Linked DNA regions of Nothobranchius furzeri. The main gene of each other region encodes a partner of the protein of the gene in region 3 in a complex. Links are inferred from orthologs where the notes say so. Each region holds a gene or a part of one and is shown on either strand. Other genes may lie near its edges.

Region 1 (7,100 bases), on a different chromosome or scaffold from region 3:
TAAAGGTTAGCTTCTGCTAGTCAAGATGTTCTCTGCTCTTTGGACGCTAAACCAACAACAGTCTTCCCCGTCGCAAGTCAAAATGGGTGAGTCAATGAAGTTTAAATAACAGTGTGACGTAGATCTGTCAGGACTTTCAAATCCTAAAGTGTCACCATCTATTTTCTATCAGAAACTAATGCAGGAGATAGGTGTGGGAGACTATTTTCATGTTCAGCCTGCATGACCAACTAAGACAGGCTGATTATAATCAAAAATAATAATTACAAATCCACCATTGTGGACCAATCACAGCGCTCTTTCGGTTTGAAACCCCTATAGAGAGCTGTGATTGGCCAGCCAGAAGGCTGCGGAGATTCCAATGGAGCGTTCCCGGACCAAACTTTGCAAGGCAAGAATTTGCTCTAGTTTACAAGGCAATGATGCATCCGTTTTGGAGGGGAAAACACTGAAGACTAAATCTGTTCACCCAGTGAAAGTTCAAGTTAGGTGCATTAGTCAGGTACGCTAACATACGCTTTCGTGTTTGGTGCATGTGGCTCAATGCCAGAGCCTGTTGGAAAGTTCGAAACTTTCCAGCATAAACATCTCAGCAGATACACATTAATGGACGTAAGGACAGAAAATCATGCAAATATCCAGGCTCAATCCAACAATCTCACCAGTGAGCTTTGGTTTTAGGACCCTTAGCCCTGAATTCCAAATCACCATGGAAAGTGAGCTGGTGTTTTGTTAAATTTCAGTTAGTTTTTGTGATCTCTGTTACAGAAGCTGCTTTGCAAAAACGTCTTCAACACCAGAGATGGTTGGTGAATCAGTTTCTGGTGAGAATAAAAGTTCCTAGACACATTACGAGGAAGTGCAAAGCTAAACCTGGAGGTGGTGATTACTCAGATCTGTGACTCAGTTCATTGCATAAAAAACACTCTCAAATTAATCAAAATCAGTGGTTTTAGTCTTGACATTTTCAGGACCTTCCAGAATGAACCATTTCAAGGCTCTGTCACTTTAAGAAAGCAAGCCAGATTTGGCCACGCCCACCTCTCCTCAGCTCAGGCTGCTATAAATGGAGAAGCTCCAACATCTGGGAGGGACTCAAAGTAGAGTCGCTGTTTCCCCAGCAGCTATCTCTTTTGTATGTGAGAAGTGGTTTTATTCAAATTTTTTTATTTGTGATGTCACAAACTGGGGCTTTTAGAAACGGCTTGTTTTAGGCACATAATTCGTAAACCAAACACTGACAAAAAAAAACAGATGGTAATGTTTGGAGTGTTTATGGAGGCAGTAGAGACCCACATGGAAGCACAAAATTATTTATAAGGTTAGTTTTGGAAAATGTCACTTTTAGCTAAAATGTGATGTTTTAGCTGAGTTAATGTTTTGTCCTACCAATATCTTCCTTATTTTATTTTTCCTCACATGACACGAGTCCTCCATGGTCACGCTATCAATACTGGTTATTCAAAAGTTCAAAGCCAAAGAATAAATGAAAGGAAACATTAGCAATCAAACAGCTGAGCTCAAGCAAACGACCCTCCATTTATCTTATTTACTTGCAACTTCCATAAGTTGCTCTAAAATCTGCTGAATTAATCTGTTTTTCTATTCTTTTGAGTCCAGTTGCAATTCCACTGCAACAGGAAGTGCTTTACGAGCTGTTCATGCCCTGAAAACCAGAACACACCTGTCAGTGAGGATGTCCAAGACTCTCTCATTGGAGGTGAAGGACCGGTAGGTGGAGAGGAAGATGGAGACGAAGGACGAGTCTCCCATAGCGAAGGAGTGGAGGAGGTGCAGCACCAGCTTCTCCTCTGTTCCTGCTTTTACGCACTGGGAACGAGAAACGGTCGACTGGAACAGAAGGAGAAGGACGTGTTTCAGCCTCTGTTGGTCTCCTGAAACGGACCTAGGCATGAGGTAACTCACCATGGAACTGTTGGGAGAAACATGCTGCTGTTTGACCACAACCGTGTAGATCACTCCATCCTCCTCCTCCTCCACCACCGTGGACTGAAAAGCAACGAAACAACTAAAAAAAAACCCCTAAAAAAACACCTCATCATCAGCTGCTCAGGACAGAAGGCCCCCCCCCCCCCCACACACACACACACCACGTGTAAATAAAACAACACAGGCCTCTCTGAACTCATTTCCTTTGTGCTACATGTAGTTCAAACGATCCCGCTTTAGCCTCAGGAAATGTCCCTGACACAGTTACCCCATTCTGGTGCACGACTAATTCACCATGCACGTTACTGAGTGCAAAACCCAACCCTCCTTACCAAATCCAGAGGACAGTACCAGGTCGTCTTCATCGGTGAGGGATCTGCCTGTGAAGGAGACACATACAACAAATTTAGAGAATAAAATAATACAGAATAATCAAGATAGGAGCACAACTTATCTTTTAATCACAGTCTGAAGTAAAAACTGAGTGTGTTTGTACAATTCCCTAAAATAAACTTTACTTTGACCAACACAAAAACGTTTCTGTCTTTTTCCGTCGTTTACAGGAGCTGCAGTCTGTTCACCTGAACACAATCACATTTTCATCCTTTTAACATGTTTTAGATTTAAAGAAAACTCTTTTCTGCTTTTGCTAACCATATAAACACGTATAAAACACCCCCAACCCAAAAATTGGCTCATGCTTCAGCCTGCAGAGGACATCTTTGATCAGCTACAGTCCATTATGATCCATAACACAGAGATTTGTCTTTGCAGGACCAAAGTCTGGTCTCATCATCGTTCCTTCAGCTGCATCTCAGACAGAAATGAGTCATTTGCAGAGGAAACAGAAAGTGTGATGCATGCTGCAGCTCTCCACAGACATTTGAATGGAGATAAGAGACGGATGACCTGCAGCCCAAGTCACAAGGGCCGTACTTTTATCTGAGAGCTACAGCTATGAGGAACCTCACAGATAAATAAATACACTTCCACAAACATTAAAGCATGAATTTAGGCACAGGAAATCTGATAATCCAACTGTTGCTATGGTTTGACCTTCATCAGTGGAAGTTAGGGAGCTGAATCCGAGGCTGTCAGAAGCTTTAATCATCACCCCCTGCCAAAAACGGCAGATTATGACGTAACTCTCAAAAAGTAATAATTGGATGTTGACCTGCAGCCAGTAAGGTTTTGGTGTGAACCCCAGTTAAGATGGCTGATCTAGTTAATCAAACTCAACAAACAAAATAACAATTATTACAGAAGGTTTGATGTTTTTGTCACCTTTACACTCCTCTACAACACAAATTCAGAGTGTATCGGCCTGAGATCATTTTAATCTAAAATTCTGACATGATCAGTGGTTGCTGGTATGTAACCCAAAATAATCCTGGGCCACTAATTTAAACAGCTTCTAAAAACAAAACAAAAAAATCTAAATTTAACCTTATTTGAACTGAAATAAAAGAATGTGTCTACCTTGGTTTCCTGTTCAGAAAGAAACTTTCCAACAAATAATGTGCCTAAAACAGGCAACCGTCCATCAATTATTTTCCTCTTATCCAGCCCAAGCAGGAAGGCCAAGACTTCCCTCTCCCCAGCCACTTGGGCCAGCTCCTCTGGGGAAGACCCAAGGCATTCCCTGGCCAGCCGAGAGACATAGTCCCTCCAGCGTGTCCTGGATCTTCCTTTAGACCTTCTCCCGGTTGGACGTGCCAGGAAAACCTCACCAGGGAGGCATCAAGGAGGCATCCTGACCAGATGCCTCAGCCACCTAAACTGGCTCCTCTCAAAGTGGAGGAGTAGCAGGTCTACTCCGAGCCCCTCATGGATGGCCGAGCTTCTCACCCTGTCTCTAAGGGAGAGCCCAGCCACCCTGCGGAGAAAACCCATTTCGGCAGCTTGTATCCGCAATCTCGTTCTTTCTGTCATAACCCAAAGCTCGTGACCATAGGTGAGGGTGGGAACTTAGATCAAACAGTAAATGAAGAACTTTGCCTTCCAGCTCAGCTCTCTCTTCACCACGACAGACCGGTACAACGCCCGCATCACTGCAGATACAGCACCAATCAGCTTATCAATCTCCCGATCCAGCTTTCCTTCACTCGTGTATAAGACCCAGAGATACCTAAACTTCTCCACTTGAGGCAGGACCTCGTCCCTGACCTGGAGAAGACATTCTACCCTTTTCAGATTCAAGACCATGGTGTCAGATTTGGAGGAGCTGTTTCTCATCTCAGCCGCTTCACACTCAGCTGATACCGCTCCAGCAAAAGCCGGAGATCACATTCTGATGAAGCCAACAGGACCACATCATCTGCAAAAAGCAGAGACCTGGTGCTCAGGCCACCAAAACAGATCCCATCACCACTTTGGCAGCTCCTAGAAATCCTGTCCATAAAAGTTATGAACAGAATCTGTGACAAAGGGCAGCCTTGGCGGAGTCCACCTCTCACTGGAAATGAGCTCGACTTACTGCCGGCGATGCAGACCAAGCTCTGACACCGGTCATACAGGGACCCAACGGCCCATATCAGAGGGCCTGGTACCCCATACTCCCAAAGTACCCCCCACAGGGCCCCCCAAGGGAACACATGTAGATTCTGATGTTTGACAATCCAACTGACCCTCCTCTCCAGAACCCCCTAATAGTCCTTACCAGGGAGGCTCAGCCCGATCCACTTAAATCAAACACATAAAAATATTCAGTAATGAATTCTTCATTTATACAGTGAGAAGTAACCTGCTTTGTTTTGTTTTTTCAAAAATTAAACTCCTGAATCTTTAGGAACACTTCATCCGTGATCTTTACCTCAAGGATTTCAGAATAAAAGATCTTGAAGATGACAGTTGGTGCTGCGATGGGTGGGGCTGCTCTTGTGTTTACATTTCATTCAAGTCTCGCATTACTTTACATCTATTGCTTTTCCACACTTTAAAACCTACATGTCAAACTCGTGAGCACAATCTGCTGTTCTCACAATGACTCCTTATGACACAACTGGTTTCACCTCCATAACACAATAGTCACACCTTAGACACACTCATTAAAAACACTACTAAAACCCATAATTTCCGCTTTTGGTTCATCCAGAAAATAATGTTATTTTACTTATTGCTGCAAGTGGCCGTTACAAATGTGTGTTCTAAGATGCAGACTGAGTTATAACAGATGGTTAAAGCGGCACAAGCGCCTGCCAAGCTACAGTAATGGTGCCATTATTAGTAATGAGACCATTTTAGCTTCCATTAGCCTCTTTATATTACCTTGACTTGTTCTTTTTGAAGGTCAGAGCTCCAAACAAAACCTCCTGCATTCAAACGGTCCTAAAGCACGAGCACCAAACCTGTTACTCAACCTGCTCTCTGTGTTGGAGGCAAATCTGCCTCAACGTCCTTCTTTCCCACGAAATCTGTTCACAGGCAGACAAAGTAACCAAGTTACCTGCTCCAAGGCAAGTCCTGACAGGTAGCGATCCCTGAGCTTCCTGGAAACCTTCAGGATAAAACCACAGACATTTTTCCTGTTTTCTCCTCCGCTTCTCATCTGGGGTTTATAGTTTTCCAGAGTTTCTCTAAATCCAGCGTCCGCTGACCCAGATCTGAGTTTTTTTGTCTGATGCGTGTCCCTCTCTATGACTCCAGGCTTTGATTCACACACACACACACACACACACTCAAACACACACACGCACCTGAAGCAGAACCCAAGTCCAGCCCCCACAAGACTGCATCATGTGGACACACCCATTACACACACACACTCACCAAACTGAGATAAGAATACGTCGATTCCTGTTTACCGTCCCTCACGAGTTTTATGCACACAAAGGCCTTCATCAGTGAACTCATATATAAGCAACACACACATACACACACACACACACACACACACACACACACACACACACACACACACACACACACACACACACACACACACACACACACACAGAGCCCGGAAGCTATTCCCAGTACAATACACCCTCTCATTATTTCTCCCCTCCACTCTTCTGCCCTCTTTCTCGTTCCGATGACCTTCCTATGCAGATAAACCAGTTTGTCTGTTTCCGCTTTAATTCAACACAACCTCTAACAGGCTAGCGGACCTCAGGCCTCACGCTAGTTTTGTTTGAAAACCCAAGCTGTTGTTTGAGCAGTAAGAGGAGTAAACGCTTAACGAGAGGATATAAATGTTCAGATGTACCAGGAAGTAAAAATGGTGTTTGTTTAAACTGGCAACAGCGTTACAGAGTGGAGTCAGCTTCATACAGAGAGTCATTCACTTGATTGTATTGCTAACAAATATAGCCTTTGTTATTTAGAATATTTTACCAAAAAGCAATAAAACTCCATTCGATTTTTTTGTTAAACGGAAAGAGAGTTGATAAAATGCATTCCAACTAGGAAACATTTTTCATTTAAAAGCTGAAAACTTTTAAAATTGTTAGCTCAACTGCTTGTTAGATCGTTATTTAGCTCCTACATCAAATAAAAAAAATCAAGATGTTTGAATAAGTGCTGAAACATTATTACCTTATATTATTATTATTATTATTATTATTATTATTAGTAGTAGTAGTAGTAGTTGTTGTTGTTGTAGTAGTATTACCAGGACACATATGATGACTTTAAAAAAGTTATAATAGTTCTATTGATTCCTATACTTCAAACTTTATTAAAGACAAAGCAGTTTGTTAGATCAAAACTGATATTGTCATTATTGAACTAATATTAATGTCTTGACTGTTAAGCATCTGGTGTCTTATTAAACGTAGCTTCATCCTTTTCATCCTGTTGATAGATACCAGGCTCCAGTAGGTCTTACAGGGAGGAGTAGGTTTTACGAGGAGGATGACCTTGCCTTGGGACCGACCTTTATCAGTAAAACTCCCTTGAGAATGTCTAGCAATAGTTTTGTTTGATTTAGGGTGCACCTGGGGAAAGTTCAGACTCCCTTTTACAGCTTTCCCGCCTCAGAGTCTAAGGAATGTCAAAATGTGTGTGCGTTAATCTTTGTGTGTGCTTAATAAAAGTTTTTGGAAGGCATCAGTCTGATGAGAGTGAACTGCAACCCTTGTCTGGTGTGTATCTTTTCTCTCCACTTTGCAAAGTCTAAATTGATTGTTTAAGATTGGTATTGGTGTTGA
Region 2 (7,100 bases), on a different chromosome or scaffold from region 3:
GCAGAGTTTTTACCTGACAACGGCACAACACTGCCAGTTTTAGGCAGAATATTTAAATTTTAACTAAGATGCACTGAAGTGCCAAATTATTGACGACACGTGTCTGCAGCACGATTAGACACTCGTTTATTTAGTTTATCAGCAAAAAAAGTTTATGTGGGGTGACTTGCTCTTTAAGCACCAAATAACTTATTGCTCACAGATAAACATGAAGCAAATATATAAAAATACAGAGTCCAACTCTGGAAAAATACGACCCAAGGTGGATTTTTTATTTTTCTATTCAAGAAAATGTCCCATCCGTTTACAAGGCAGAAGCAGGACTTAAATGTTGTCCCACTTTTCTTGTTTTGTTGGGTTTATTGAATTGTTGTTTTTTATTTTACTTCTGGCACTTTTTGATTAACATTTTAAACTGTTGAATTTTTCACATAAAATGTTTAGCAGACAGATAAAACCATCTCTGTCTTTTCAGGCGTCAACCTTGAAATCAACTCTTGAAATAATTGTCTTTGTTAATGAGAGGTTTTGTTTTCTGGATGTTAGAGAAAATTTAACTGGTGTTTCTGATGAAAAGCCCCCAAAAATGCATATTTCTGCTTTCTACTGTGACTGAAGCCAAACGTTTCAAACAGAGAATATGTGTTACTTTGACATAGATTAGATAGTGTTGTTGTAAGTGTGAAATATTGTTTTTCAATTTTTTACCAACTTTTATGTTTTAAAGAGAGACTAGGCAGTTTTGGTTTGCTTTTAGTACCCCCTAGTGTTTGTTTAGTAGAACCAAAAGCAAAAGTTATCTTCTCACTGTGCGTTTGTCTTTTAAACACCTTAATTCATCCATCCATCCATTCTCTTCTGCTTATCTGGAGTTGGGTCACGGGGCTACAGAAGAAGCAGAGAGGCCCAGACTTCCCTCTTCCCGCCACTTGGGCTAGCTCTTCTGGAGGAATCCCAAGGCGTTCCCTGGCCAGGCGAGAGACATGGTCTCTCTATCATGTCCTGGGTCTCCCTCTAGGCCTCCTTCTGGTTGGACGTGTCTGGAAAACCTCACTAGGGAGGTGTCCAGGAGGCATCCTAATCAGATGCCTGAGCCACCTCAACTGGCTCCTCTTGATGTGGAGGAGCAGCGGGTCTACTCCGAGCCCCTCCCGGATGATCACCCTATCTCTGACAACATGCGGAGAAAACTAATTTCCGCCGTTTGTATCAACAATCTCGTACTTTCAGTTACTACCCAATGCTCGTGACCATAGGTGAGGGTAGGAATGTAGATCGACCAGTAAATTGAGAGCGTTGCCTTCTGGCTCAGCTCTGTCTTCACCACAACAGACCAGTACAACGCCCACATCACCGCAGATGCAGCACCAATCCACTTATAGATCTCGCGCTCCTCCACTTGGGGCAGGACCCAGGGGTGGACTGGCTCATCTGGCACTGTGCCGGTGCGCCGCTTAGCCAAGTGGGCCGCTTACCCAGCTTGGGCCATCAAGAGTCCGCGAGCAACAAATCCCCCAACCCCCCCCACCCCCCCCCAAATTCGACCCCCCTCCACCCCCACCCCACTCTGAGGGCCCACAGTTCATAAAAACGCCAGGGCCCAATTTTGGTCCCAGTCCACCCCTGGCAGGACCTCCTCCCTGACCCGGAGGAGGCATTCTACCTTTTTCTGACGCCTTAATCTAACAGCTGAAACATCTCCCAGTCTTCCTTAGTGTCTACAGGAGTGGTTCATCACAGAATTAAATAAACCAGCTGTGTTCACGATCGAAAACATGCAGGAAACATGCTGGAAGCAGATCGCAGCGCCAGGTATGTCGGCCCCATTTTTTTCAGCTTCCACACCAGCAACTCGGAAGTTGCAAACGTCATATTCTGGCCACAGAGGGCGGTGGGGGTCTGAGTGACGTTTTATTAACCCTGTAAAGGCTCATTTTAGCTCATACTGGCTTAAGAACGTGATTTAAAATTTTGAAAAAGTTGCCTAGTATCCCTTTAAGGGCTAAATTTATTGGAGATGTTGTATAAATGCTATAAAAACATAATTCTACCTTGTTTTGATGGGAGAGTTGTGAGTCAGATGTGTGTGTTGGTGTTGTGTGTCCCTCGCTGTCCGACGGGCTGCTGGAGTCACTGGAGGACACGCTGACAGAGTCCATGCTCTCCCCGGAGCTGCCAGTAGGGGGCGAGCGAGGCGTCTCTCTGACTGGGGAGCTGGCTGTGTTACTGTCTGTTCCAAGAAACAGCCTGGACGACAGAGGCAGGGAGATACACGTTAGTGGAAGAACTTTAATGTTGCATCGATCGCTCATCTGTTTTTCTGAGGGAACTCACAGGCTGAGTCTCTTCACCATGCTCTTACGAGTTTTGAGTAAAGTCGGGCTGCTGTCGCCGAGGCCTTCAATCTCACAAGACATGGCATAGCTGCAAAGCAGAGTAGTAACGGTGAACCCTCAACATAATTTAAAAAGTCACTACCACATCATGTGCGTGGGGATTTTTATGAACTGGATTAGCAGTAGTCAGAGAAGGCAAACAAATACAAGCACAACGGGCCAGTGGGGAGTTGAGGTGTGATGAGGGGAAGTAGTAAAAACTGAGGGAAAGAAGCTGCAGCAATTTTCTTAATGGTGAAGAGAAGGAAAAAGAGAAGGCATCCAGAGTAAAAGCAAACAGGAGCAGTACCTCTCCTCCTCGCTGAGTTGAAGCTGGCTCTTAAACCAGCGGAGGAAAGCCGTGTCTGGAGTCAGGCAGTAGCTGTTACAGGCTGACTGGAGCAGCTTAATCTGAGCTATGACCTCAAACTCCTGCAGAGACCAGAGAAAAGCAGCACACGGGCTTAAAACATCAAACTCGTTACTTTAGCACCGCCTCTCAATCATTGTCAGGGCTTATGGTGTCAGAGGAAACCCTCACCCTGCGTCTCTTCTCAAAGTTGATCAGGCCACCCTGCAGAAGATGAAAAGAAACACGCCGTCAGAGCTGGGACCCCCATACCAACAGCTGCTTAAGCAAAGTCCATCATTTGGTTCTTTTTGGCACACAGAGTAATAAAGATTTGTTTTTTGACATTTTTTGATAAACACAGAACGAACCAGGGATATGTATTTTTGAAATTCTGGCGATACGATACACATCACGATACAGGGGAGACGATACGATAAATCACGATATGTTGCGATACATTCAGTCAGACGTTACAAACAATTTATTTTACTGAATTTATTGTAAGAATGTTCAGTAAACAGTCCAAACTGATACGTAACATGTTTAACATGAGGTATCTGAACCATGAGGGAGGGATTTACATTTCAATGGTGGAAACAAAACTCGTTGCACACTGCTGCCAACTAGCGGGTGGTGATTGAATTGCACAAAACGAAAAGAAAATACACAAATGTTTGCATGTAAATTCTTTCAAGAATTAGATACACAGCTTTTGAATATCAATGTATTAATTACAGGGAAAAAATCACGATATATTGCCATATCGATATTTCCGATACACGGCTTTTGAATATCGATATAATATTGCTGGAAAAAATATCACGATATATTGTCATATCGATATTTTCTTACATCCCTAGAAAGAACGTACCAAATGAAGCTGCCTAAGCAAACAGAAGGTGGCCCACCCCAAAACAAACCAACAGAAATCCTCTTTCATTAATGGAAACTTCAGGTCTGCAGAGCTCCTTCAACCTACAGACATATGCTCTCCTATCCCACACAACACAGACAGCAGGTGATTTATTTTTACCTCCACTAGGTCTGGCAGGGCTGTGTCCATCATGGTCAGATCGGTTAGAAAAGTCCCCAAGTATGGTATTGTTCCCTGCATCGCTCCCTGTGGGGAAAAGTCCTTTTGATTAACAAAGTAATCTGACATCCCTGAAGCATGCTCAAGAGGAAACGGTTTAGGCTCACATATCTCCTAAAAGGGGAGGTTTGTTTTTACCCTTTTTTTGCAGACAGGTTTCGGCTAACGCTGTAGCCTTTCTCAGAGTGTTTGTCAAAACTTGTCAGCCAAAAAAAAAGAAGGTAAAAACAAATCTTCCGCTACGCTGTGTTTAAAAAAGAATTAAAATAATGGAAGGATTACACAGAGCGAACATACAAGAGCCCCCAAAGGAGAGGGGGGGGGGGGGGGGGGGGGGATTGGCCCCCAAGCTATGTATGTTTCTTATCAAAAATAATGACACAGACACCTCGATGAGCAGGCCTATTTGATCACTTTGGTCTTTAGGTAAACATTGTAGTACTTGTTGGGACACAGCAATCAATTTCCCTCGGGGATTAATAAAGTATTTTTGAAGGTAGATATTAGTACATGTGTTATTGATGAAGCGTAAATGTACATGGAACATTGAAAATGTTGTGTTCTAGGTGGCAGCAGAGCACTACTAACATATATAGAGGTGTAGTGTAGAGTTCAGGGGAAGCGCTGCTGACGATACAGGATGATTGGTGTGTATATACACATCCTTACTGCTGTAACAAAGGTCATATGGATTAGGTCGGGTTTTGAGTAAAGGGGCGACGGTGGCACAGGAGTTAAGTGCTCGCCTCGCAATCGGAAGGTCGCAGGTTCGAGACCCGCTCAGTCTGTCGCTGTCGTTGTGTCCTTGGGCAAGACACTTAACCCACGTTGCCTGCTGGTGGTGGTCGGAGGGACCGGTAGCGCCAGTGCTCGGCAGCCTCGCCTCTGTCAGTGCGCCCCAGGGCAGCTGTGGCTACATTGTAGCTCATCCCCACCAGTGTGTGAATGTGTGTGTGAATGACTGATTGTGTTGTAAAGCGCCTTGAGGGGTTCCAGGACTCTAGAAGGCGCTATATCAAATACAGGCCATTTAGGTTACTTCCTGCCTGCTTTCTCCCAACTTTCTTTTCTTCATGACGAGCGATTTGTCACGATTCAATTAATATGACCGTAACTAAGTGTGTAACTGAGGCTCACCATTTCTCCCCAAAAAATATAAAGATCCAAGAGGATATTGTTGTTAAACAGGAACATAAAGAGTTTTAAACATTTTAAAACAATGACATTTGAAATAACTGTATTCGTTGTTTGATATTTTGTCTTTTCCTCTGAAATGTTTGTGCTTCTCAAATTTGAGGTCAATGTGCTGGATGCACAGGTCTGTTGCTTTTTAATCAAAACCATTGAAGGAGCAATGCAAATGCACAGCAGGCTAGTCACTACTGGGACGAATTTGGTGTGCCATCCGAACCCCCCCCCCCCCCCCCCCCCCCCCCCCATCTCCCCTTGAACATTTTCTGGTAGCAGGTTTGTTTGTTTGTTTATTATTATTTGCTATGCTGGACCAGATTGAATGAGTTATAATGCCAGATATGAATTGAGATCCACCAGACACACAAAGTGATTAATACAACTTACAAATGCAAATCTACAACAAACCCTCTCATCTACAGCCAGAGCTGCTAGGACTCAATATTCCATATTCAATCATTTACTTTGTGGTCTTCACAGATGGTGACGCAGACTTGTAAATCAGACCTTCGGTTTAACATGAGAACAGTACACAGTGCACCGGGTAAACACAGATAAGCACATGGTTTCATTATCCTGGAGAAGCAAGAATTTCTCCTTACAGTGCACTGTTAGTGCAGAATGTGTCATCCACTTGTGCGTCTTGTATTTTTAACACTCGAATTAGCCTCACCATTTCCTTCTGCAGCTGGAGTCTCTTGTGGGTGCGTTTCTGGTGCTCCTTGGCACAGCTCTCCAGGCTGGCAAACTTTGAAGTACCTTCCTGGAAGGTGAACAAAATTAGCTTTTGTCCTCAAGATTCAATCCAGTGAGTGAAAAAATGCTCCTGGGGCTTGTGCACGGAGTGGTTAAGAGCCTCGGCAACACATGAATCTAATGAATGGGTTTGGACTGCAGTCGTAGGACTCACCCTCATGAGCAGCTCTCTGCTGGTAAGGTAGTTGTTGTGGTCAGAGAAAATGTCTGAGAGCTCCTCGAACGTCTGCATGCTGTCTCTGCGTGAGACACAGATTCATTTCAGAAGATGCAGCAGATACAATGTGCACGTGAATTAAGATGAACCCATATCCGCCTATGACAAATACACGTTTGAGAGACTGGAGGCTCACTTGTGCACGCATGCCCACACTCTCTTCAGCCTGTAGAGAGGATTGGACTGCAGCGCTGACACGATGGCTCGCAGAGATGAGAAGTTTTTGCGTATTCGACACTCCTGTTAAAGGAAAAAACAAACTAAGGCAGTCAGAACTCAACTCAGTGTGGCAGATTAGACCAGTCTGTGGCTGCGCGTCTCTCCCTGACCTGAGCGATGTCGATCCAGCGCTGGATGACCCGTGCCCTGACATGCGGTCTGAGCTGCCTGTGCTTCAGCACCGTGCTGACCACGCAGGCCGCCACGGCGTTGAACTGAGTGATGGTGGCCCGGATGGTGGGAGCGGTGTGCTTGTTGTCTTTCTTGTCCCTCTGAGACCAGATGGAGCCCAGGCAGTGGTGAGGTACAACCTTTTTAAACAGCAGCTGGAAGAAAAAAAAAGACTACATAAAAGCACTGACCCTCCTTTTTTTCTCTTTGCCTTCACCCGACCTCCCTCCACTCACCGCATCCATGTAGGTCAGCTGCTCGGCCACCAGGTCGGCCTCAAATGACAGGAAGTCATCCTGGACCTCGATCTCTACCTCTTCTTCTTCCCCAAGGCAGAAAGAGCCGTTGCCGTGGAAACCAGCTGAAAGCAGAGGAAATCAGATAAATGAGTTAGTAATGACTTTTAACTGATAAAATCCAAAACATATGTAAAGATGGGGTTTAGAAACAATACCATCGCTCTCGTCCATGCTGGCCTGACCCTGCAGCTGCTCCAGCAGACTCTCTGCCCGTCTGAGAGCCTCTGAACCAGGAAGAGCTTTGCGTAGGTAGTCCATCAGCCTGTGGAGGCTGGGGTAGTCTGGAGGCTCCTGGAAGTCTTCAGGACATTGATCCAACCAGGCACACAGAATAGAAGCCAAGGCACTGAGGGGACAGGTGTGATCAGTAAAACGCCTTAAAGTAACTTTCTTTAAAGGTGTGGTCCACGGAGTTTTTCATGCAGGC
Region 3 (7,774 bases):
TTGTTAGTCTGAATGATCTAACTGATCACCAGAGTTTCTATGCTAACAAAGTTCTAATGAAACATGATAGTTTTCATTTAAGATTATGTTCCAAAAACTCCAAAAAACTTTTATTCAAGTAGGATTCAAAATACATTTTCATGGTTTTCCTTACATCTTGTGTTGATGTTTGCTCTCAATGACTATTTTAGTTCCTCCTCCTAACTCACCTATAGTGGTGAATGTCCTCAAAAGACTTTGAGTTGTTGATGGCAAAGACACAGAGGAAGCCCTCCCCTGTCCTCATGTACTGATCTCTCATGGCGCTGTACTCCTCTTGACCTGCCGTGTCCAGAATATCCAGCAGACACGTCTCTCCATCGATCACCACCTGCTTTCTGTAGGAATCCTGGGATCGTAAAGAGCAAAAAATAAATAAATAAACTACCAAAATCTACAAAAGTCTGTCGAATAGGGATGTAAGAAAATATTGGTTGATATTGATAACAACTGCCTAATATTATTGCTTTTGATGTTTTTCTAATGATTAGATTTTATGATATATTATATATTAAACAATACTGTGAATAATGTGCTGAACCTTGACTGGAAGAAAATTATAACTGAACTGAAATCTCAATTTCTCAGATAGAAATCACAATTCAACCTTTATCTTAAAATCATACAGTTCTAGCACCTACACTCATAACTTTGAAGAGTAGTTAAGCTTCTGTTTTGGGTTGCTAACTGATACAAGCTAGGGTCCAAATACCAATACTCACACTGCGCCCTACGGTCTTCAGCAAAGTGCACTTGGTAGAAGTGCGCAGTAAGGTTTTGCGTGTGTGGTAAACAAGTGAGCAATTGCCGAATTGGGAAAGTGAACATTGCGTCATCGACCACAACGCATCAAGGTCGTTGACTGTACTACTTTAAAAATAATCTTTATTAACCACTTTCAAACAAACACACCTTAATCTAACAGCTGAAACGCCTCCCAGCCTTCCTTAGTGTCTAGAGTGCTGATTCATCACTAAATTAAACAAATCAGCTGTGTTAATACAGGAAATGTGACAGACGCAGACTGCAGCGCCAGGTATGCACGCCCATTTTTTCCAACAGACCAGACCGGCAACTGTGAAGCTGCAAGTGGGATATTCTGGCCACAGGGGGCGCTAGGCCTTTCATTAACCCTGGAAAGGGTCATTTTAGCACATACTGGCTCAAGAAAATGATTTAAAAATATGAAAAAGTTGCTAAGTATCTCTTTTAAAATGCTTTAGAGAAAACTACCGTTACTGCAGCCCAAAAGTAATTCAGCTGACTAAAATGTCAGGAAGTGTCAAAATTGGGATTTGTGGCATAAACTGTTAAATTCATCTTTTAACATTACTAATATAATCTGGTTTTAACATCAAAGGTCATCTTATCATCTCCCCTTTTCAGTGATATATATCATATCGCCAGATTCTGGCCAATACACCAAGGAGGTTTTTAAAAAACAACAACAGGACTTACAGTGTTAGCCATGCTTCACTTATATGCTAGATTTTTACTCCTGGCCTGGGTATGATCTCACTGACCTTTTTTAATTCGTGAAAAACATGATACACATTTTTAATTGCTCAGCCCCGACTGTGTTAATGTCTCTGATGACATGTTTACATAAAAGATGCCACGGGACGCAGCTTCATTATCGCCCCTTTCTAGTTGTAGCGGGGCACTCTGCTTTCTAGAAGAGTTCAAATTACAGAGAGGTTTCTGTCAAAGCCCTTTTTCCATCACGCAGATGGCTGCCATCAATTGGATCCAACAGGAATAATTACAGACGAATCCAATGAGCTGCCATACTTTCAGATGCTATCTGGTGTCTGGGTAATTCATGGTAGAGCGCTAACCTGCCACAGCGTTTCAATAATTGATTGAAATCATGATGAGATTGTTCACACTGCATGTGGCTGGCACTGAGGAGCTTGGCCAGGAGCCAAGCATGAAAAGTCATTAAAAACCTGTTTGGTGTCTTTTTAAAACCCAAAACCAGTAAAGCCAGTTACAAGCTTTTAAAAAGAGTTTCTCATTATTTTTGCATCCCTGCTTCCTGACATGGAAGTGCAGTTAACAAGAACACACATTTATGTTTACCTCAATGGTGGGGTCGTATTCGTCCACAAAGTGGTTCTGGATGAGCTGGATAGTTAGCGCGCTCTTGCCCACACCACCAGCTCCCACTACAACCAGCTTATATTCTGTCATGTTTCACCTGCCGGACAAAATAAAGAATATTTGTCTCATTTGTACTCAAATGTTACAGCATTAACTCATTACAGTGTTCCTACATCTCTCCTCAAGTCAAATTTGGTCAACCATAGAGATTTCCCCGTACGTTCTTGTAGTGATTAAGTAATACAATTTATTTTAACTGTGCTAAACTTCCTCTTCGTATAAAATCAACGTTCATCTGAAGAACAGCAGTTACGCTCCGCTTTTATCACTGACAATGAGCGAAGAGGTAAATGTGTAAAACAACGTTTATGAATGGTGAAAGTTTTGTAACCGTTTGTTACAAATCAGTAAATGCATTTTGTCCTCACGGGCTCCCGTAGAAGGAAACATGGCATCGCCCAGAGCTTTAGACCCGCTCCCATGTATTTTAGACCCGATTTTTATTGTTATATGTTACAAAGCCGCCAATATTTTTCAACAACTCTGCATCATTTAATTAATTTTAAATAGCATTTTGATGGATATTTCCAGAGATTAATGGTAAAACTATACATGATCTCTTTCAATAATCATAAAAAGCTCTAAATTCTACATAAAAAGGGTTATTTTCAAGGGTTCCCCTCCAGCAGAATCTCTGATCCTGTTCCTGTCTGTTATTTTTGTCTGATAAACTGAAATCTGTGTGCTCCGGCCTGGCAGAAAAACATTGCTGATTCACTGGAAATTTTGATTTTACACAGTTGAGTTTTATGAAAGGTTATTTTAGTAATCAACTACAGCGCTTGAGGGGAGAACAAACCGTGAAATCACAACAAATGATCATTAATCAAACAGAGGTTAAGCTAAAATAAGGGAACACTTGTATTTTAATTAATCTGATTTCAGAAAACCATCAACTAAATGATAAAAAACCTATTTTTCTACACAAACTAAATTTGTATAATTACTGATCATTCTGGGGGGAAATACCAGACTCAAGATGAGAAATAATTGAGTAGAGAGCTAAAAAAAAAGGATTAGGAGAAAAACTTTGCCCATGTGATCAAGTCTCGGAATAAAAGAGCACAATGTGATCAAGTCTCAGAATAAAAGAGCACAATGACTGTCCCCTCTACAACTAAAACTAACCACAGGCATAAATCCATAATATTACATTAAAGCTTCAAAATTGACAAGCGGCTGTGAAGCTCTGGTGTGTGACTTCTTTGTGGATCGATGGCTGCAGCTGGCCTTTTCAGAAGTTACAGCGCAAACTGATGAAAGTCTGCAGAGCTCAGACAATGAAAACAACAAATAAGTTTTGTTTTGTTCTTTTAACCAGCAAGTTACAGATTTATATTAATGCAAATGAAGTGATGTTTTTAGATATCAATCAGAAAATAAACGTGTGGGAAAATGTTCATCTAAAGCATATTTTCACCTTTCAGAAAGTCTTGTGCAAATGCAACTGAACAGGGGTGCAAAAAGCTGAGCACAGCCTCGTCTAAAAAGCAGCAGGTAAGTCGTATAAGTCGTAAAGTTCACTTTCACCGCCTGAAACTGCAGGAAATTTTTTATGGTGCGGCTTTGAAAAACTGAAAGTTTATTCCAGGCGTCTGTGCCAGCATGGTGGAGTGGTTTCTTTTCTTAATACATCAACAACATTGGAGAACATGGCTCAATAGCTCAGCGCAGCCCCGATTGGAGGGCTAATGCGGGGATTGATTAGCAGCCATATAAACAAAAATGCTACTTGGAAAACAGTTTGCTACCTGTGAGGAATCAGAGGAAGTTCTTTAGTGACTTCAAGAAGGCAGGAGCCCCTAGGGTGCGCATAAAAGTGGAAAGGAGTTTGATTTAAATCTTCTATCCTTAATAGTTTAGAAGAAAACGTCCTCGGTACTTCAGGCGACTTTGCTGATGTTAGCTAGCTTAGCATCGGAGATCGCTCATTCACACTTAATTACTGTTAAAAAATAAAGTCTTGCGCACTTTCCCGTTGTGTTTTATAATTAAAAAAAGGCTAGCCGATATTATTGTTCTGTCAGCTCAGTGTGTCTGAGCCGAGTCTGTCATCCATTCAAACGGGAAGAGAAGCCGCTATCGACAAGCTAGCTAAAGCTCTGCAATGTAGGGCCAGACGGTAGGTTAACTGGGCGTAGTTTAGCCAAAAACGAACATGTTTGACTACAGGGAGGCTGCCCAGTGTTTCAATAACGCATAATAACTTAGTTTTATTAGACAGTGAAATTCCGCAAAGGCTACATGCTAAAGTCTGCCATTAATGCGTCTTATGCGCTTGTTTTACCTTTTAGCGAGTGAAGTTCCGCGTCTGAAGTAGCGACCAAAGAAGTCAAGCAGATAATCCTCTCGCTTCACACGATCTCTGCATTTCCTACTTCTCACCAAAAAGCCCGCATTCGAGTCGGTCTAGCGTGGTTTCGGGAGCAACCGGGAGCATGCAGAGGGGGAAGGAAAATAAATAAAGTGGGCGAATTAATCGATTGAACTTTCCATCTGATCTGATGAGATCCAGCTTCCCCTCGGCCTAGCCGCTGCTGCTCAGTGTGGCCTGCTGCGTTACGCGAATATGGGCGGATACCAGGGCTTACTTTACCCAGAAACCATAGCTGTGGATTTCAACCGGCCTGGGTCAAATCACTCAAGCGTGTGTCGCAATACGATCCCGAAAATACGCTCGTTTCTTTTATTATTACCCATATGTTGATAAGATCCTCGTCATATCAAACTATGCCCATTCTCCAACTCCCATATCTCAAGTAAACCGGTGTTTTCTTTTTGTTGCATCTAAACTAAAACCAAACGGAATGTTTGTGCTTGCATTTTTATTAAAATCGGACAACACTGATAGGTTTCAGGTCACGTAGAGTGGGTTTCGTGTCCTCCAGCGAGACCCGCTGCTACCGCTGCAGCGCGCCGCAGAGTCAACAAAGCCTACGGGGCGACTCCACTATATATAGGCTCTAAATATAACTGGAATGTGCTGGAGGATGGACGTCATTCCCAAGCAAGGAAATGATTTGGCAATCCCCCGTCAGTTTTCCTACGTGCTCACTGGCGCTGCTGCTGCGCTGCACACATGCATAAATAAACAGTACGCTTGTAAAAAAGCGCAGACTTCTGATCCAGAGGGCACAAACGGCATTAAAGCGCCGAAATTGGATTTCTGTGTCAATAAAATCTGTTTTAAGCATTTAAGAAGGATCTTTGCAAACAAAAGGACCCAGCTGCTTAAACTGAGCCGCTCACAAAGACTAACCAGTAAAATTATAAAATTATATATTTTTTATGTATCTGAGGCAACTAAAAATGTTATAAGTTAGAATCAGGTCTAAATTTAGACTTATTTGGATTGATCAAGCTTTAGAAACCATGGCAGACAATGGTAAATGCATTATTATTATTTTGAATAAATTATCTTCCATCCTAAAAAATTACAGCATGAACATCTGTTTTGTTTTGGGGATTACAAGAAGGTGCTGCAAAGATGGGCTAGACCTGCTGAATAAAATTACCAACAGCTGCCTCTCCTCATTGGAGGGCATTTCCTCCAGCAGATGCACAATCAGAGCAAAGACAATGGAGGATCTCATTAGCACAGAACTGTTCACCCTCTTTCTTCAGACAGAAGGTTGGTCTTCCTCAACAAGACTAAAGAAATGATAAACGACCCACATTGTGTAGCACCTTTCAGAGTCAGAGGACTCCAAAGTGCTTTACTTTGGAAAAGATGTTTAAGTGGGGTCAAATTATTGGTATGCATCATGCAGAGAAAACATCTAAGGAGAAATGACTTAAGATTGGGTTAAGGACTTCCCAACACATTATTAATTGGTCTGATGAGTTCAGATGGACTCTGTTCCATGTGATGGGTGCATCAGGGTAAGAAGAGAGGCAGATGATGTGATGCACACAACATGCCTAGTGCCTACTGTACAAACCTGTGAGGGCAGTGCTATGATCTGTGGTTGCTGCAGTTGGTCAGGTCTAGGTTCAGCAACAGGATGTGCTCCAAGAATGAGGTCAGCTGACTACCTGAATATACTGAATGACCAGGTTATTCCATCTTCGCTGATGGCACTAGCATATTCCTAGATGATAATGTCAGGTTTCAATGTGAAAGAGTGGTTTAAGGAGCAGACATGATTTTCACACATGGATTGGCCACCACTGAGTCCAGACCTGAACCCCATTGAGACTCTTTGGGATGTATTGGAGAAGGCTTTGTGCAACAGTCAGACTCTAGATCTTGGTGAAATATTAATGCAACACTGGATGGAAATAAACCTGGTGGCATTGTAGAAGCTTATCAAAACAATGTCACAGCGAATGTGCTGTAATAAAAGCAAATTGAAATATTAGTGTGTGTGACCTTTTTCTTGTGATGGTGTTTTTTTCTGGCAGGCGGTGTAGCTTGTAGTTCTAAATGTAATGGATGTTGAATTTAGTTCTTAGTTTTGCTTTTGAACAAATGAAATGTATTCTTGTCACTGTTTTTAAAACAAACTTTGGATACTAACTAGTTGTATCCTTTAAAATGATCTACAGATCACCTTTAAACCAGTGCCTGATGGTTCAGTCAGGATCAGTCCCCGAGATAATAAAAGCCATAACTGATCAACTATGTAAAAGCCAAACTTTTCCAGGAGTTTCACCTGCTGTAATTATCTCATTTTATGATGGTTTGTTGCCTCCACTGAATTTGTTTTAATAACATCCAAAACAACACGTGTTGTTACAGACAGAGCCTGTCAAATACTTTTATATCAGGGCTTTAATTTCAATAAAAGTTTTACTTTCACATTAGTATATTTAGATTGTTTTGATTTTAGTTTGTGTCACAAACATTATCAGTTAGATCTGATGTTTATTTTGGGCCACACTGGAGTCATTAAATCATTTTTTATTGCATCTATAACACAAATGTAATTAAAGTATGTTTTACTTTAACCATAGTAATTTTTTTCAAAATAAAATACAATGCAGATCAGTTTCTATTTGATATGATGAATTGTTTTAGAAGGAGTTTTTATGTACAGCCCACATATCAAACTACCAAAGCACTGACAGGCTGAAATCCATTTTAAATGTTATGTTTAATTTAATTTCCTGATGAATCTCCATCCATCCATCCATCCATTTTCATACGCTTATACGGAGTCGGGTTGCGGGGGCAGTAGCGTAAGTCGAGAGGCCCAGACTTCCCACTCCCCGGCCACTTGAGCCAGCTCTCCCGGGGGAATCCCAAGGCATTCCCAGGTTACGTGAGAGACATAGTCTTTCCAACGTGTCCTGGGTCTCCTCTTCCCGGTTGGACGTGCCCGGAAAACCTCACCAGGGAGGCTTTCAGGAGGCATCCTGACCAGATGCCCGAGCCATCTCAAATGGCTCCTCTTGACGTGGAGGAGCAGCAAATCTACTCCGAGCCCCTCCCAGATGACTGAGCTTCTCACCGTTTCTCTAAAGGAGAGCCCAGCCATTCCGCGATCTCCTTCATTCGGTCACTACCCAAAGCTCATGACCATTGGTGAGGGTAGGAACGTAGATCGACCGGTAAATCGAGAGCTTCGCC

Evidence for each region.
Region 1: the proteins of kras (region 3) and rgl2 are in contact, whole or in part, in a crystal structure (PDB 8B69), measured with the Homo sapiens proteins. The link is inferred for Nothobranchius furzeri from reciprocal best matches to the Homo sapiens genes KRAS and RGL2. Residues at the interface, in NP_001356715.1 of Homo sapiens: Ile24, Gln25, His27, Val29, Glu31, Asp33, Pro34, Thr35, Ile36, Glu37, Asp38, Ser39, Tyr40, Arg41, Lys42, Tyr64; in NP_004752.1 of Homo sapiens: Ile651, Arg653, Glu660, Asp661, Gly662, Ser663, Val664, Tyr665, Lys666, Ser667, Ile668, Leu669, Lys685, Lys686, Asn688, Arg689.
Region 2: the proteins of kras (region 3) and rgl1 are in contact, whole or in part, in a crystal structure (PDB 7SCX), measured with the Homo sapiens proteins. The link is inferred for Nothobranchius furzeri from reciprocal best matches to the Homo sapiens genes KRAS and RGL1. Residues at the interface, in NP_001356715.1 of Homo sapiens: Ile24, Gln25, Glu31, Asp33, Pro34, Thr35, Ile36, Glu37, Asp38, Ser39, Tyr40, Arg41, Leu56, Tyr64, Met67; in NP_001284600.1 of Homo sapiens: Ile651, Arg653, Asn660, Gly661, Asn662, Met663, Tyr664, Lys665, Ser666, Ile667, Met668, Lys685, Asn687.

What each region holds. Positions count from the first base shown.
Region 1 is NC_091745.1:62,343,668-62,350,767, reverse strand, and holds part of rgl2 (ral guanine nucleotide dissociation stimulator-like 2), read right to left. Parts: intron 5,661-7,100; exon of another isoform or gene 5,498-5,660; coding exon of another isoform or gene 5,396-5,497; intron 2,331-5,395; coding exon 2,283-2,330; intron 2,011-2,282; coding exon 1,927-2,010; intron 1,852-1,926; coding exon 1,685-1,851; intron 1-1,684. UniProt on the Homo sapiens protein: Probable guanine nucleotide exchange factor. Putative effector of Ras and/or Rap. Associates with the GTP-bound form of Rap 1A and H-Ras in vitro.
Region 2 is NC_091748.1:53,018,780-53,025,879, reverse strand, and holds part of rgl1 (ral guanine nucleotide dissociation stimulator-like 1), read right to left. Parts: intron 7,020-7,100; coding exon 6,829-7,019; intron 6,736-6,828; coding exon 6,611-6,735; intron 6,530-6,610; coding exon 6,314-6,529; intron 6,225-6,313; coding exon 6,121-6,224; intron 6,007-6,120; coding exon 5,922-6,006; intron 5,775-5,921; coding exon 5,685-5,774; intron 3,848-5,684; coding exon 3,761-3,847; intron 2,950-3,760; coding exon 2,917-2,949; intron 2,808-2,916; coding exon 2,686-2,807; intron 2,425-2,685; coding exon 2,335-2,424; intron 2,248-2,334; coding exon 2,052-2,247; intron 1-2,051. UniProt on the Homo sapiens protein: Probable guanine nucleotide exchange factor.
Region 3 is NC_091744.1:73,813,198-73,820,971, reverse strand, and holds the start of kras (GTPase KRas), read right to left. Parts: upstream 4,746-7,774; 5' UTR 4,490-4,745; intron 2,240-4,489; 5' UTR 2,233-2,239; coding exon 2,122-2,232; intron 389-2,121; coding exon 210-388; intron 1-209. UniProt on the Homo sapiens protein: Ras proteins bind GDP/GTP and possess intrinsic GTPase activity. Plays an important role in the regulation of cell proliferation.